Linked DNA regions of Caenorhabditis elegans. The protein of the gene in region 4 purifies or fractionates together with the protein of the main gene of each other region. This does not show direct contact. Each region holds a gene or a part of one and is shown on either strand. Other genes may lie near its edges.

What was found.
Region 1: the proteins of fcp-1 (region 4) and mrpl-55 fractionate together in Caenorhabditis elegans (co-fractionation; one large-scale study listed by BioGRID). This does not show direct contact.
Region 2: the proteins of fcp-1 (region 4) and rpb-5 fractionate together in Caenorhabditis elegans (co-fractionation; one large-scale study listed by BioGRID). This does not show direct contact.
Region 3: the proteins of fcp-1 (region 4) and gmap-2 fractionate together in Caenorhabditis elegans (co-fractionation; one large-scale study listed by BioGRID). This does not show direct contact.

What each region holds. Positions count from the first base shown.
Region 1 is NC_003282.8:442,166-445,290, reverse strand, and holds mrpl-55 (39S ribosomal protein L55, mitochondrial), read right to left. Parts: upstream 1,307-3,125; coding exon 1,234-1,306; intron 1,019-1,233; coding exon 891-1,018; intron 817-890; coding exon 721-816; intron 676-720; coding exon 595-675; 3' UTR 505-594; downstream 1-504.
Region 2 is NC_003279.8:6,848,821-6,851,782, forward strand, and holds rpb-5 (DNA-directed RNA polymerases I, II, and III subunit RPABC1), read left to right. Parts: upstream 1-1,588; 5' UTR 1,589-1,603; coding exon 1,604-1,663; intron 1,664-1,708; coding exon 1,709-2,139; intron 2,140-2,184; coding exon 2,185-2,329; 3' UTR 2,330-2,433; downstream 2,434-2,962. Other genes in the region: syp-4 (Synaptonemal complex protein 4), read left to right, coding at 1-452, 499-642, 689-960; sacy-1 (RNA helicase), read left to right, coding at 2,561-2,728, 2,775-2,934. UniProt on the Caenorhabditis elegans protein: DNA-dependent RNA polymerase catalyzes the transcription of DNA into RNA using the four ribonucleoside triphosphates as substrates.
Region 3 is NC_003284.9:12,940,920-12,944,985, reverse strand, and holds gmap-2 (GM2 Activator Protein family member), read left to right. Parts: upstream 1-1,719; 5' UTR 1,720-1,726; coding exon 1,727-1,832; intron 1,833-1,882; coding exon 1,883-1,980; intron 1,981-2,083; coding exon 2,084-2,223; intron 2,224-2,446; exon of another isoform or gene 2,447-2,528; intron 2,529-2,678; coding exon 2,679-2,778; intron 2,779-2,832; coding exon 2,833-2,949; intron 2,950-2,995; coding exon 2,996-3,072; intron 3,073-3,247; coding exon 3,248-3,434; 3' UTR 3,435-3,544; downstream 3,545-4,066.
Region 4 is NC_003279.8:9,003,970-9,010,589, reverse strand, and holds fcp-1 (RNA polymerase II subunit A C-terminal domain phosphatase), read left to right. Parts: upstream 1-1,881; coding exon 1,882-2,079; intron 2,080-2,124; coding exon 2,125-2,301; intron 2,302-2,652; coding exon 2,653-2,781; intron 2,782-3,252; coding exon 3,253-3,495; intron 3,496-3,910; coding exon 3,911-4,198; intron 4,199-4,287; coding exon 4,288-4,475; intron 4,476-4,519; coding exon 4,520-4,991; intron 4,992-5,035; coding exon 5,036-5,164; intron 5,165-5,432; coding exon 5,433-5,588; 3' UTR 5,589-6,077; downstream 6,078-6,620. Other genes in the region: rbpl-1 (E3 ubiquitin-protein ligase RBBP6), read left to right, coding at 1-523, 644-1,069, 1,139-1,204, 1,250-1,330. UniProt on the Caenorhabditis elegans protein: During the late stages of oogenesis, dephosphorylates 'Ser-5' of the heptad repeats YSPTSPS in the C-terminal domain of the largest RNA polymerase II subunit ama-1.

The DNA.
Region 1 (3,125 bases), on a different chromosome or scaffold from region 4:
ATAAATATTATGGTCCTTTACTACGCGCTTATTCTTTGATTAAAGTACATTTTCGGTCAGTGGGTCACAAAAATGTACCTTTTATTGGTCCCCCCAATCGATTTTTTCACAGAAAAAAAATGATAAATTTCACTGTTTTTGAGCCAGAAATACGATTTTTTGAGTAAAAAACGTTGAAATTAAGAGTTTTCAGTGAAACTTCACGCTTCTTATCGCATTTTTCCATTTTTGAAGTCAAATTCGTTCTGAGATCGGGTTTTTTACCCGAAAATTCGCGTTTTTCTCGGAAAATGGCTGAAAATTCGGCGTTTATCGCTGAAAAATGAGGTTTTTAGAGGTTTTTAGCATATTAGTATTTTCAAGCTAATTTCGACCGGAAACTCGATTTTCCTCCACAAACTTCTTGGTTTCCTATCCACCAAGCTGTTACGGGGTTCCCTAGTGAAATAGAGATAATTGATATAAAATTGCGACTAAACGCACAAATCAATATTAATCAGATCGAGAATAAAGTCGATATTCATAGTAAATATAACGAAAACAAAAAATCTAACAAAAAAAAAGAAATACTACATGCTAATAACGAGATTTTTCTTATTTTTTCGTGGATTTCTGCCCGGGTGCCGACCAAAACTTCATATACTCCGACTCATCGAAGGTGTCATCGATAACTTCCTGAAAAAACCATTTTTAATTTGAAATCGTTAATTATATAATTACTGTTTTTGTGATCTTGGCTTTTGGTTTACGAGCAGCCAGCCGTTGTCGTCGTTCATCCTCGCTCAACTGTTTGAGGTCGACGGCAGATTGGAATGTCTGAAAATATGTACAATTAAAAAACTGATTAAATATAAAAACTGCAATTAAATATGTATTTTTCAAAAAGCAACCTGTCTCGGTTCAGCGGCGGGAACCATGATTGTCGAACCATCCGGACGGATAAATTTAACTTGGTACCGATGCAAGTAGTCTCGACGGCTGATTTTTCCCAAACTTGCTCTCCACGCATTATTTCTCTCTGAAAATGTGAAATTCACGCGGGAATAGTGATTTTGATTTAGGGAGAGGAAGGGGGAAATGGTTTATAAAAAGTCTGATTTTGAGGAGAAATGAATGGAAATAATAGTAATTGCAATTTTCACATGAAAAATGTTGTACGAAAAATGTTCTGCCACGTTTTTTTTTTGAAAATAACCTTCAAATGATATTTTTCGACCTTTTTCCTTTACTAACCTGCTGTGATGGCTTTTGAGCAGCTTGTTAGCAAGTTTCGCATGGAAATTTGAGTGTTCATCTGCAAAAACATTTAGAAATTCAAGAAAAATCACAGGAATACACTGAAAAATCAATAAGTTTTAATAAAGACGTGTATTTTTGACTTATTCGAGAGGAGTGCACAAACAAATTCTCAGCGGAGCGCGTTTGCGGCGCTCACTTTTCGTGTCACTTACGCGGCAAATGCAAATAAAATTAAAATAAGAAATGAGAAAAATGCGAGAAATTATTGAAAAAGATAAAGGAACTGATTCGAAACGGTAAACAAACTTTATAGTATATATAAAGTTTATACACGGCCTCCTGCGGGTGAAACGCGCAAGCAAGTCGCTCTCGTCATCTTTCACCTCTCACTTGCGCACGCTCTTTCGCTCAAAACGTGAAAAGCGGCGAAAAACGGAAGATTTTGAACAAAGCTTCAAATTCTTGCTAATTTACGTTTGAAAAAAATATTAAAATTGAATGAAAAATGGATTGTTCAATAAGATTTTCAATAACAATTTTAATTTTTGTAGTTCAATATACCAGAAATCACGATAAATATTATTTAAACGTGCGTAACTTTGCGAATAAGAAATAAAACAGGAAGCAGTCAATTATGAAAATAATATTTGAACAATTTTGAACATTTCATTAGTTTAGCGTTTTTTGATTCCGTCACTGGTTACTGAGTTATGATCTATAACAGCTAGCGAGGTTATATCAAGGAATTTAACTTGTACGTTTTCCAAAAGAGCATAGCTCTCTCGTGAGCATAGATATCAAAAAACTTTTAGCCGAAGAAATGCTCAGCATACAAAACACTACAATTCTTGATTTTACTTTTTTTAATTCTTTTATTATTTAAAAAGATATACGCACTTAAAAACACAAGTACTACGTTTTTGATAAAATCCCATTGCGCATACATTACCACTGTTGTAACTACTCAATGGCTTCACTTACGAAAAAGTTCTTAACTGAGAAATGTTGGCTACATTATCAACTTTAGTTTTCTAGTTGAAAAGTTTTTCATATCTTCCATAGTTTTCAAGATGCTGCTTACTGAAGACAAACTACAGTATAAAAAGTTGGAATAGGTTTTGTTTTTTTGGGTCTCCTCTTCCAATTTAGCGCATTTCACGCGCAGGACGCCGTATTGAAAGTTGAGTTTCCGCTTACCATTTGATTAAAAGCCCGCAAGTTTCCGTGAATTTACGTGTATTTATTGCACACGGTGTTTGTGGATTTTGAAGCTACAGTAACTAAATTATCGGGGAATTTTGACCTTTAATAAAGTTTTCGATTTTTTTGGAAAATTGAAAAAAGTGGCCAACTATGATCCGCCTATTATTCACAAATGTTAAATAAGTGTGTGGGGATCAGGGGTGTGGGGCAAATTTACCAAATTTACCGCAAACATCAAAAATTGACAATACAATTTTAGCCGAAACTATTGATTTTGTCCTCAAAAATTTTGTAAAATGGCACAAAATTGAGCTGTTTTGATGTTGAAGAAGACACACTACACGGAACTTGTTTGGAAACCAGATGTGTGTTAAGAATTCAGTAGTTTTGGTGCTCTAAAGACTTTGAAAAATATAACATTTTAGGAGTTTGTTAAGCTCGGCAAATTTACCGAACTTGCCGAATTTGTCGTGCACTGTAAATTTGGCCAACTGGCTATACCAGTTAATTCAAATCTTGCGTTTTCAACTCGACTTGAGTATTTTAAAGTCGATGGACGAAGAGATTTTGTAAATTATAACTTTTTAACTTTTTTTTGACCATAACTTTTTTTGAGAAGTTTTACAGAAGGGTCAGTATGAAATTCAGCGTTTTCAGACAATTTTTAGTCTCATAAAGTAATT
Region 2 (2,962 bases), 2.2 Mb from region 4:
GCATCCGATGGAAGTTGGCGAAGAACCTGTAATCGAACATTCAGCTGAAGAAAGCGTTCATATTGAACCACCAAATGTCACTGAAATAAGGGAGGTGGTACCACAAATTACCATTCAGCCTACTCGTCAAGACAGCGTCGTTCAACGGGATGCAGAAGAGTTAGACACTTCAGCAGTTCCAAGCCCCCAACCGGAATCAATCCTAGATGAGCCCGAAGAAGAAGAAGAAGAACTTAGCAATCATGAAAATCATGCCGATCAATCGATGGATGTAATGGAAGTAGATCAGGAAGTACCCGAGGAAAGTCCCATGGAAGTCGGTGAGCAAGAAGAAATTGAGCAACCATCTGTATTCAAGGACATTCTAGCCACGGAGCAGGCTGCACTCTCCCAGGAACAAGAACCAGAGATCGTTGAGAAGCAGGCAGACAATGATGTTCAGTTTGTTGATGGTAAGTGTTTTACTTGGCAATAAACATTGAGTTATTCATTTCGCAGATCAACAAGTGGGAGCACAACTAGATGTAGAAGACGAAGAAGAAGTGATGAGCGAAAACGGTTCCAACAAAAGCAATAACTTCTCTTTTAACTTTTTTGGGAATAGCAAGGGTACATCAGCGGGAGAAGGTGGCGGTGAAGGCAGTAAGTTATGAAACACGTGAAATTAAAAAAAACTCCATTTTTATAGACTTCGACTTTAATTTTGACGGAATTGGAGCAGGAGATGATGGTTCGAACAATGGTGGTTCTACTGGAGATCTGGATTTCCTTAACTATGACGGAGAGGATGAAGGAAAGGGTTCGGGAAACACTCAATCCGATCCGTTCGGATTTGCATCAAATGGTAACGCAGCTGGTGGAGGTGGAGATGGATCGTTCAACTTTAACTTTGACGGTGACGGTGAAGGCGGAGCAACTTCTGGAGCGGGCGGAAACAGCACCTCGTTCTTTAACTTTTAGAAAATTATCATGTATTATTCAGCTCTTGTATCATTTGTATCGTTTAATGTCAGAAATTTTAGATTTTATTGGACCAAGAAATTGCCTCTTTTTTTTCTTTTTGAACAGCAAAAATATACATAATATAAAGTATTGATCATCTCATTGCGTTTTATTCTTTTTCACTTTAATGCTTTAAATGTATAGCTATTTAAATAATATTTATTCTGAAACAAACTCAAGTTCGCTTATGTTCGCAAAATTTTTGCTCGTAAAATCAGCAGCATTCGACGCAATGAACGATGCTCCGGTATAACGCTAACGAGCTTTGTTTAGCCATTGGAATTTTATTCGAAAAACGAAAATTGTCCTGTCAAATTTAGTGATTTTCATGTTTTTTTCCTTCAATTCTTTCCCACCAATTTGAATATGAGACATTGCAGCAATCTCCCTTCTGATTATTCAATTTAAATTGTTGGTATACCATAGTTTATGTTTTTCCTGTTAACCTCAATGTTTATTATTAATTAAAAGAGGTTGTTATATGTTCAAAGTTACACTTAAAATTGTGATGAGACTAAGACGAATTGTTCTTTATTTTTCAACCTTTAATGTCGGCGGAAAACTTTTTAAAAGTAGTTTATTGCAGAGACTAACAGTAATAATGGCTGACGACGAGCTTGAGACCTATAGATTGTGGAGAATCCGTAAAACAGTTCTTCAGGTAAACAAAATTTGGTATTTGCCATGATAATATGTTCATATTTAGATGGTTCACGATCGTGGTTATCTCGTAGCTCAAGATGAATTAGATCAACCATTGGAAACATTCAAAGTGCAGTACGGAGATCGTCCCTCTGAAAAAAAGCCGGCTCGCTCAGATCTGACAATTCTCGTGGCTCACAACGACGATCCAGCCGATCAAATGTTTGTTTTCTTCCCAGAGGACGCCAAAATTGGAATCAAAACTATTAAAGCTATCTGCCAGCAAATGCAAGAACAGAATATCTCCCGTGCTATCATTGTCGTACAAACCGGAATGACTCCAAGCGCCAAACAATCCATTGGCGACATGGCCCCAAAGTACATGTTGGAGCACTTTTTAGAGGCTGAGCTCATGGTAAACATCACAGAACATGAGTTGGTACCAGAACATGTCGTCATGACAGCCGAAGAGAAAGCAGAACTACTTGCTAGATAGTAAGTCTTCATATTAAAACATGATTATAAATATGATATTTTCAGCAAACTTAAGGATTCTCAGTTGCCACGTATCCAACAATGTGATCCGGTCGCTCGTTATTTTGGTCTCCGCCGTGGACAAGTTGTCAAAATCATTCGGCCATCGGAAACTGCTGGAAGATATATCACTTATCGTCTTGTGGTCTAAATCTTTTCTAAACCCCCTTGAACGTTGATCTTGGCCCAAAAATTTTCTGATTTTGGGTACCTTTGTTATTTTATTTTTTGTTTTTCCCGTTATTAAACCTATTTCTCTTGTATTTCAATTAAATCTTATTGGAAAATCGGTAGAATCCAATGCGACTTAAATATATACACAAGTTCAATTTTTTTAAGTATCTTAAAAAGTAGAACAGAAAAATTCGTTTAGTATTCCGAAATGAGCACAGATGTGGAAGCGGCGCGACGAAAATATGAGGACCGCCGGCGAAAAATTCAAGAGGAAGAAATGAAAGAACGCAGAGACGGCATGAATTTATCTTCTGGAGATGATGATCAAGACGTGGATGATATGTTTCTGACTGCATTACAGAGAAAACGAGAAAAAGTATTTGTGTAGATTAGTATTTTAAGAATTAAAAATTAAACTTTAGGTACATCGTCGAGCCCTACTGAAGCAAGTACTGGCTCCGACAATGAATCAAAAAGAAGAAATTGAAAGAAAACGAAAGAAAAAGGAAGAGGATAAGCAAAGTGAAGAAGCGAGAAAAACACTTTTGGAGAAACATGCTGAGATTATGGAGACACAAGGAGGTTATTTATTTAAAATAAGTTTATAAAA
Region 3 (4,066 bases), on a different chromosome or scaffold from region 4:
ACAAGCGCAGTATTAAAACTGGTTTTGTCTAAAACACTGTACATAAAGTGACATTCAGATGTGTATGTGCGTGATTTCCTGCAAAAATTGTATACCTGAATGTAACGCAAGCAGACCAGCTAACACTTTGCATAGCGCATCGTTTCCTGATCGAATAATAATGATTCACACCTATTATCTATTATCCGCGGTTAGTTGGTGAAAGGAGATGAGGGGATTCTTGGCAAATTCTCGTTTCCGACCAATTCGCAGTCTTTATCGTCTTCCACAATTTCTTAGTATTATTCGTTTTTTGCCCTGCGTGTCGGCCCACCATTCATTTGCCCTTCCACAATATCTTTCGTCACACTTTTCTGTCCAAGCGTGAACCTTTGCTATTCAAGTGCACTCAAGCGAATTGCCAGCATTACAGAAAGTGTATAAAATGATTATAAAGACGGGTGTGAAAACTGTGTATTCGCAAGATGAAAAAGTGTGGACTTTTGGTTAAAGCTAGTGGAAATTTTTATTTATGTTTTAATCGTTCAATGACTCATTTTTCTTATCAAGGGGTTTTTGCAAGATTATATAAGTTTATGATTTTTTTTCATTAAAGTTCATTTTTTAAATTGCGCAAACATGATTGATACGTGAAAAAATGAAAAGATATATTTTTTAATTTTGCTTTACAAAATTGTATTTCGGGGGGCGGATAGCTCAGTCGGTAGTGGTGACCGCTAGAAATCTGGAGGTCATAAGTTCAAGTCCGGCCTCACCCCCTAGGTTCACCCAGCCACTATTGGGCTTAATGGTATTATGCCTATCATAATTTGTAGTCCACAAAAAAATCTTTGTTTGCCAAACTTCATTAGCTCGAATGCTCTTGCGACCACTGTTAAAACATTAATTCGTCCAAAGTAGTTTAAGAGTTATTCTATATGCCGGCGGTATTATTTTTCCACTAAGTTTCCCAAATATTCTATAGTTGAGAACCGAAGTATTATAAAATTACAAATAACTGTTGCGTTATTTCTGACATTGTTTCTGTAGTTTTTGAGATTTTTTGCCCACAAACTCCATCATTCATTTAGGTCTCCATTCTTACAAACAACATTTTGAAGTCGATTTGAAAAGATAGTCACATGAACACTGATTTTGTAAAGCGTCACAAATATTTCCCTTCTCAAACACACCTAGTACACACCATTAAAAGTTCCACATTAGTTCTTGTTCTCGTAACTAGTTTTCTTTTGTGAAATTCCAGAGGAATCAAATTTTATGACAAGTTGAAAAATTAGGGCGGACGACGACGAGGTGAACACTAAATCAAAGACCATTGGAATCTTCAATGTTCTCCTGGTCAGTCATCGTAGAACATTTCGCTTCCTTATTTCAGTTTATTTTTCCTTGTGGTCTCTGCCATAGTCCCGTTTTGATTGAAAGTCTAGGTCCTTCAACAATGCATATCATACCCGATTCTCTTTTTTCATGCTTAGACAGATCTCTAAGCTTACGTAACAGGTTCCTTCCATTCGTATCGTTTTGCCCCATTTGACGATTTTTCTTTTTCACAGCTACTTTCTTGCCGCATTTGCATTAAATGCTAAACTAAGATTGATTCAAATATTAGATATGAAGATGTTTCGATGATGGAACTATTTGAATTCAGTGACTTCTGTGACTTTTTCTATACTGTTCTTGTAACTTTCTGTAAATTTTTACATAAACGGTATCTTACAGATTTGTCATGATTACAAACTGCCTGATATTACTGGCAATTTTGTTTGGATTTGCATCGACTCAGTATCTGAACTTAAACCTTCATAGACATCAAAGTTGTGCATGGAGAAAAAGTAATTATTAAACTATCGTTGTCACTTTTTTAATACTTTACGTGTTACAGGTTCTCACTGGAACCGCAAAATCGAGTTCCAGGGTGGCCACTCGGATAGTGGAGCGCTACTCAAGTCAACTGAACAGAAAGGGTGCTATGCAATTAGTGTGAGTTAGCCCCCAAGAGTGTTTTATTTTGATTTTTGAAAAACAATAACAATGCTTGATGATTGACGTTATTACAATAATAATAATAATTCATTTTCTTTAGGGAAAAGTGAAAATTCATGAGGATGTGAGCGACGAGTTGTTGATCTACTTGTCCGTGTCGACCACTGGTGACACTCAAAGACCACCGGAAGTGTGCAGGGATGCCAATCCGGACACTGGTTGTGGAGGTGTTGGATCATGGTAATGAGTTATTGACAGAAATATTAGGGAAATCATCAAGATTCTAGAGCTAGAAAAAACATTAGGAAATGAAAAAAAAGCCTTTTGAGCAGTTAATGATAGATGAACAGCTGTGAAGTACCTAAAAGTTTTAAGTTAGAGGTCACTCTTAAAACAAAAAGTATAACTATAACAATTTCATACATAAGTGTTTAACCTGCAAAATAAATTAAAAAAAAAGAACTGAAGAGAGTGGGATTCGAACCCACGCCCCCGAAGGGACTGGTGCCTTAAACCAGCGCCTTAGACCGCTCGGCCATCTCTCCACGTACTACGCTATCATAATTTGTCGTTATGTTATAACTTCAAACAACAAGATTTAGTTGTATTTCGATGATTACGAAATTTAAATTTTCGAACTTGAAAATTTGTTGTTTTGTTGTTTCCAAAAAATGACGTAAACACTGCTGTTTCAGTCTCTACTGCCGGCCATGTGATTCTTTGGACTCTCTCACGAAAATTCTCGGAGCTCAACTTGTTGTGAACGGCAAACCAGCAGGATGTGAGCCATTAAAAGTGAGCAACATCGTTAAAAAAAATTTACGATGCAGTCAATAACACTATTTTTAGAAAGGAGAATATGATAATGTTGAACTCCGTTTCTGCCTTCCGAAATTAGCTGCATTGTTGGAATGGCAGGGAATTTCAGAAGACGCGTTAGATCACATTTTAGCTGCTACTACTCAGGTTTGACAAAATGAAAATAATTATTGAAAGAAAAAGTGTGTTTCAGGAAGGAAATGGTCCACCAAAGCTTAGTCTATTTGTGACCGTTTATTTGTTCGACAAGGATATTAAACCTCTTCTAGTGTAAGTTCTGAAAATTAAATAGGTTTTAGCCAGATTTACAGTTTCATATACCATCTAACAACCATTCACTATATTCGAGACATATATGTCACATACATTACAGCTATATGAAAAATAACACTATTTTTCACGAGTAGAAAATTTTTAAACAAATAGAAAAATGAAATAATTTCAGCTCTCAACGAAAACTAGAATCTCGCATCCGTGAACTTCGCAAACTTGGCGCTGATGAGCCAGTTGACTCTCAAACTTATTGGAATCTGCCATTCAATCAAATTATCAAAAAGCAGTCAGTTTTCGTTGGATGTCACAAACTTTACGGAACCATTAGCTTGAGCGACATTCAAGCCAAGAAGAAATAAGAAAATATATTTGGATGAACAACGATGATAACTTCATGTTTATTCATTTCGTTTATGCGGGTTCATTTTTTGTGAATTATGAAATAAACACAATAAAAATTATGAATTAGATAAGCAAATTGATCTTGACATTTAATAAATAACAGTCAATCTTTATGGTGATACTGTGCTCAAAGACTCGTTGTGTAAAAAACAACAGTTTTGTCTGGTATCCTTTTGAGTATGTTTTTTTACATTTCTTCAATATGCATTTTATTCAATACAACCTCAATATTTTGCTAGCCTCAAAATGTTTCTGGGATTTTGTTCAAAGTATTCTGTATACCCTTTACTTCTAGAATTTTTATTCTTGTGTATACAACAGTACACGAATTCTACAGAAAAATCTTGCAAAGTTACTAATAGTAAGGAAAACTGGAACTATATATGTTGTTGGTTAGAGATCATAAAGTGATATTTATGTAACACATCTGTAAAACTTTATTGCATTTGTTCTCACTACTAGTTGAAGGACATAAGGCTTTTGATTCATTATTTTCCTTTTTTTTTACTTTTTTCCCCTTTCCTTTTCTTTTAATCTCTTCATCTTTTCAGAATCTCATAACCTTCATGACCTCGAAACGCCATCCGAC
Region 4 (6,620 bases):
CAAGAAAATGAAGAAACACAAAAAAAGTAAAAAGAACAAGAAACATCATCGGAAAGAGGAAGACGGTGATGAGGATGAGGAACGAAAACGGAAGAAGCACAAGAAGCACAAAAAAGAGAAAAAGTCAAAGAAGGAGAAGAGAGATGAGGATGAGGATGATCTTGATACCGAAAAGAAAGAAAAAAAGAAGGAAAGAAAGTATCAGGATGATAAAGATGAGGATTCTAATAGAAAAGAGCCAAGATCTCTAGATGATGAGGACAAAGTGGAGTTGGACAAAAATTTTGCTGACAAAAAAGAAAAGAAGAAAGGAAAATGGAATGAGGATGAAGAGGACATCTTCGAGGATAGAAAAGAGGAGCTTCCTAAGGAATCCGATCGGAGAGACAGGAAAGACCGTAGACATGATGATGAGGATGATCGTAAGGAACGTCGGCATGAAAGAGATTCTCAAAAAATTGATGAGCAAGATAGAAAGAAAGAGAGAAAGCGAGATCGAGAGACCGAGGCATATGACAGTGATGTAAGTTTTGGTTTATTCTTATTTTTAGATTAGTTGTTTTAATTGTTGATTGTTTTGAGGAAAAATTTAGCAATCAGAAATCATCTTCCGGGTTTAGGAAAAATGAACAAATTTTTATAGAAATTGCAGGCCCCCAAGACAAAGGTGAAGCGTGAAGACAAGAAGCGTGACGATCGGAAAGATTATGAACGGGACAGGGAACGCAGGAAGGATGACTATGAAAAGGAGAAGAGTAAAAGAAAGGAGAGTGATCGGGATAATGAAAAAGAGAAACAACGCGAGAAGGAAGTGGAAAAGGAACACGAGAAGGATCGCAAAGAGAAGCGGAAAATCGTTGAGAAAGAGTCTGAGAAACCACGAAAATCGGTTCATGAGCGTATGCAGAAAGCTGACTCATCCACTTCTTCAAGCTCTAGAACTACTACTGCTCCATCACTTGAACGAAAACCTGTCTCGTTTACTGTTGCTTCGAGCAAACCAACGACAAACATCAGAGTTCGTCAATACTCGTCCTCATCATCAACCAAGGAACAAGAAGATGAAGAAGTACGTTTTATTCACAAATATTTCACTAAAATTCAATTAATCAAAAAATATATAATTTAAAAATTTTAGCGGTCGAAGCGGGATCGCCGGAAGAAGGACGAAACTGACGTGGAGAGCATTGGGGAAAAGGAGAAGGTAATTTTTGTTGTTTTTGAAGAATTTTAATCTTAGATATTTCAGAAATCTTCGTCTCGAAAAGTTCCAAAGGAGAGTGTAGATGTCAAACACAAGAGTACCAAGATTAAATTTGATCTTTTGTAATCATTTTTGTATCTATATTTGAGTTATTAATTATGTTCCATCCTATTATTCGTTTTTCTCATATTCCCCCCTATTTTTCTAGTTCTTCTTAGAGGGAACCACATCTACTGTGACTTTGATTCTCTTTTTTCACCATTATTTTTTTTTTCTAAAAACGCTTCCATTTTTATTCATTTTTCGTCCCATCTGTGGAATTATTCTGTTTTTTTTTCACTTTTCTTGTTCCTGTTGGAATAAAAATTCCGTTTTATTTTTACTCTATTTTTACCTTTTTTCTTATTTTTATCCCAAAATTTCTCGGTCCTGAATTTGCCGCAAATAATATCAGAATGGCTAATTTTACAGATTCGATTTCAAAAAAAGCGCCGAAATTAACCTTTTGGTAATAAAATCGAAAATTGAAAAAAAAGTTTTGGAGAGAATGCGTACATATGTATTTTAGATGATGAACACAAAATTGTTGAAAAATTTTACTTTTAAATAACATTTAATAATTCAATAACAGTCGAATTTGATATCTTAATTGAAAAGATATAAATATTCTTTTCCAGATGGATATTAAATTTGAAGGAAACGATGCCGAGTGCACAGCTGGCCTGAAAAAGGCCAGTGAAGGAAGTTTTGTATTGAAAGATCACGTTCTGATAGAATTCAAAATCAACGGAAAAGTGGCGGGAAAGATAAAGACACCATGTGAGGGTGTAGTTACTTTTGGAAAAGGTCTTAAACCAGGAATCGTATTGAATAAGGTAAATTGAAATTATTTATTCAATTGAAACTGTTTTCATTTTCAGGGTCAAGTGATTGCTACAGTATCCGAATGTACTCATGCAATTGTTATCAAAGATATGTGTGCAACATGTGGTAAAGATCTACGTGAAAAGGGAGGACGAGCCGGTCAGAGAAAGGAACAATCAACGGCTAATGTATCTATGATTCATCATGTTCCAGAACTTATTGTGTCGGATACGGTTAGCATCATTTTTATTACCCGGATGCGGCGATTTTTTCAATAAAAATACGGTAACCGGTCTCGCAAAACGTTGTGCGCCTTTAAATAGCTAATGCAGAATTTTCATCGTTTTTCGAAAGTTAATTAAAACTTTAAAATAAAGCAAGTTTAAACTATTTTTAAGTAAAGTATACGATTTTGAGAAAAATAGAAAACTTCATGAAAATCCCATAATATTACAGTTCTTTTTAAAGACGAACATATTTTTGCATTTATCAAAAATTGTCGTGTTGAGACCGTGAACCGCATTTTTGGCTCAAAAATTCGCCTACTAGGCAAATAATATTTCGATAAAAAACTTTTTTTTCAGCTAGCAAAAGAGATTGGATCAGCCGATGAAAACAATCTGATCACCAATAGAAAACTCGTATTGCTTGTTGATTTGGATCAGACAATTATTCACACTTCCGACAAACCAATGACTGTGGATACTGAAAATGTAAGAATCAATAGTTTTGACGAAAAAAAAGTTTTTTTTCAGTTTTTCTCAGAGAAAACTGAAAAATTGAAAAAAAATGTTCCGAAAATTAGCAAAAAATTAAAACACAAATTTAACGAATTTTGGTCGTGTCGATGAAAACAAATAATTTCAAACAACCATATAATTTTCTTCTAGAAAAAAAATGGCCAAAATGTAAAGCCATTTTTCGAAAAAAAAAACACTTTTCAGAAAATTAATAAAGATTTCAAAAAAAATTTCTCATCGAGCTTCTATGTAAATGATAAAGTTAGAAAAGCATAATTTTCTTATCGTAATAAGAAAAATCGACAAAAACTTTAAATTATTTTCCGAGAAACCTTTTTTCTAATTTAATTTTGGTACAAAAAAATTGTGTTTTTTGATTTTCTAAAATTATCGAAAAATTGTCACTCTTGATAGGAATACTCATATATTTTCTATAAATTTCAGCACAAAGACATCACCAAATATAACCTTCACTCTCGTGTTTATACCACTAAACTCCGACCACATACAACAGAATTCTTGAATAAAATGTCAAATATGTATGAAATGCACATTGTTACCTATGGACAACGTCAATATGCTCATCGTATTGCTCAGATTCTTGATCCAGATGCTCGACTCTTTGAACAACGCATTTTGTCTCGAGATGAACTATTCTCGGCTCAACACAAGACCAATAATTTGAAGGTATAATTTTTAAAAATTAAAAATAAAAATAATTTCAAACTCCAATGGAGTTTGCCCAAAATTCGCAAAAATCACGAAAAAAGCGAAAAACTAAAAACTATAATTTTAAAGTCATTTAAAAGTTTTTTACAAATTCTTCGTTTTTTTGCTCTTTAATATAAAAAAACGGAAAGTACATTTTTTGTCAAAAAAAAACACCATTTTTTTTAAAGCGAAAAACAAGAAATCTTCAGCCCTGAAAACATGAAACTCGTAGAAAATATTAATCGATCAGAATTGTGATGAATGAAAAATGAGTTTTCATCAATTTTTCGACTGTTAATGAAAATTTCAAATTTTTAAAAAGTGTTACCATGAAATTTGGTTTTTTTTTAACATCATAGAATAAGTGTTAAACACAACAATTTTTATTCAGGCTCTATTCCCATGTGGCGACAATCTTGTAGTGATTATTGATGATCGATCAGATGTCTGGATGTATTCTGAAGCACTTATTCAAATCAAACCTTATCGATTCTTCAAAGAAGTCGGCGACATTAATGCTCCAAAAAACTCAAAAGAACAAATGCCAGTTCAAATTGAAGATGATGCTCATGAGGATAAGGTTCTTGAAGAAATTGAGCGAGTTTTAACGAATATTCATGATAAATATTATGAAAAGCACGATTTAAGAGGATCCGAGGAAGTGTTGCTTGATGTAAAGGTAAATTTTCATTTTAAATATTTAGTTATTGAATTATTATTCTAAGTTGAATATTTAAGTCTTTTGGACTTCTAGAAGTTGATTTTCAGGAAGTGATCAAAGAGGAACGACACAAAGTTCTTGATGGATGTGTCATTGTTTTTTCGGGAATCGTACCAATGGGTGAAAAGCTTGAAAGAACTGATATTTATCGTTTGTGTACTCAATTTGGAGCAGTTATTGTACCAGATGTGACTGATGATGTTACTCATGTTGTTGGAGCAAGATATGGAACACAGTTAGTTTTATCATTTTAGCATTTTAAAATTCTTTTATTTTCAGAAAAGTTTATCAAGCCAATCGTCTCAATAAGTTTGTGGTCACAGTTCAATGGGTATATGCTTGTGTCGAAAAGTGGCTTAAAGCAGATGAAAATCTGTTTCAACTAACAAAAGAAAGTACTCCTCCAGTTGGACGTCCACTTGGATCAAAGTATGTCAATGATTTGGCAAATATGGACACAATTGGGAAAGCCGCGTTAGCTGATATGAATAATGAAGTAGATGAAGCTCTATCGGATGATGAAGACGATGGAGACAATGAGGATGAGGATGATGATGGGAATGATGTTGGAGAAGATAAGGGAGATGAAAATTTAGAAGAGAAACAAGAGAAAAATGAAGAAGAAATGGATGATGTTGAGCAGAATGGATCTGTTGAGAATCAATCAGGAGATGCTTTGGAAAACGAGACAGATTCTACATCAAGGGGACAGAAAAGAAAGCATTGTCCTGAAATGGAGGACGAGGAAGAGGTAAGAAACTTGAAAATAATTTATTCCAATAATATTTATTTCAGGAATCAGATTCTGATAATGAGGATGACGATACCCCTATGTCGTACAAAGCACTTTTGTCAGATTCACGCAAAAAAGGTCGAATTGTTCCAGAAAACGAGGATGATGCAGTATTTGATGTTGATGATGAGGTAAAAAGGGCGGCAAGTATAAAAAATTGAAAATAAAACGGAAAGTTTTGAATTTATAGTGGCTAAAATTAATAGTAGTGAATTTTTTGAAAAAAGTTAAATTTTGGCTTCTTGAGCTTAAAAATATCAATCCAAATCGTTCCAGTGTCTAGAATTTATCGAAAAATACGACATTTTATCGATATTAAACAAAAATTCAAAGAAACACGTGAATCATTATTCCTGCTTGGGAGATCAAAAGTGTTTTGAAAAAAAAAGACTTTTACAGAAAGGCCACGCACCAGCTAATATAGATGAAGAAGAAGATGACGAAGACAATGAAGATGAGGAAGTACCGGAATCTGATGATGACGATGAGTTCGAGGATATGGCTGCATTGATCGAACGTCAGATTAGCGATGCAGTAGATGAAAAAGATCAATGAGTTTTCTGTGAAATCATCATGTGCTATTATTGTTTTCATTTCCTATTATTCTTTCAGTTGTTTCCCATCTTTTACATCTCATAATTATCACCCCCGTTCCCCATTTGATTCGATACTCAATGTTTTCTGTACTATTTACCTCCATTTAAATGGGAATAATCTGACAATTAATGTCGGCTGCTTGATCAGAGTGATTTTCATCAAATCAATCAAAACTTCACTAGAAGCCTGCATTTTTGTCATATATAAACGTTCACGGTTTGGAATATAGATTGCTTTTTATTCACTTATCTTTTGCCTTTTGATTGTAAATTCAAGAAAAGTCTGTCACTATGGAGTTATTCATCTTTCGATTGCTTACTTAAATACCTCTATTTTCATTTTATCGAATTAATTTTTTTTTCTAAATCGCGTCATTGTCTCATTTCTTCTCTCGTTTCACGTTGATCGTTATTATTTTTTTCTGAAAATGAATGAGATTCATTTCTATTTTTCTTGCTGACGCTTTCGCAATGCCGTTTGATTCGGAAGTATGATTTATTTTTTTCGAATTATAGGATTAATGTATAGTATTTGTTACGCGAGACCAAAAAAAGTTTCATGTAACAAATGTAGTACAATGTTTACATTTCCACAAAAATCAATAATTTACAATTTGTATACAATTCAATGTGGTCTTATATTACACAATCAATCGTTTCAACAACACGTTTTGCCGAACTGGATTTTTATCGATCTTTTACTATTTCCTTATTATTAAAAGTTATTAAAAGCTATATATTCGCAAAAAGTTTTGAAAAAAATTGGTAGAGTGATTAGCTATTGAAAAAACTTATTTCATTTCCTTTTAGTGACTAGTTTATTTACCATTGCAGTGAAAGTTTATGAAAAAAGTATTTACTTTTCTCTTTTGAAAAGAAATATTTTCTCGCATTTTTTGTCTATAGAGCATTTTTGCACACACGCGCACTAAGCGCCTTTTTTGTATGTATTTTCAGCGGTTTTTATCGATTTACTCATTGTCAAGAATCT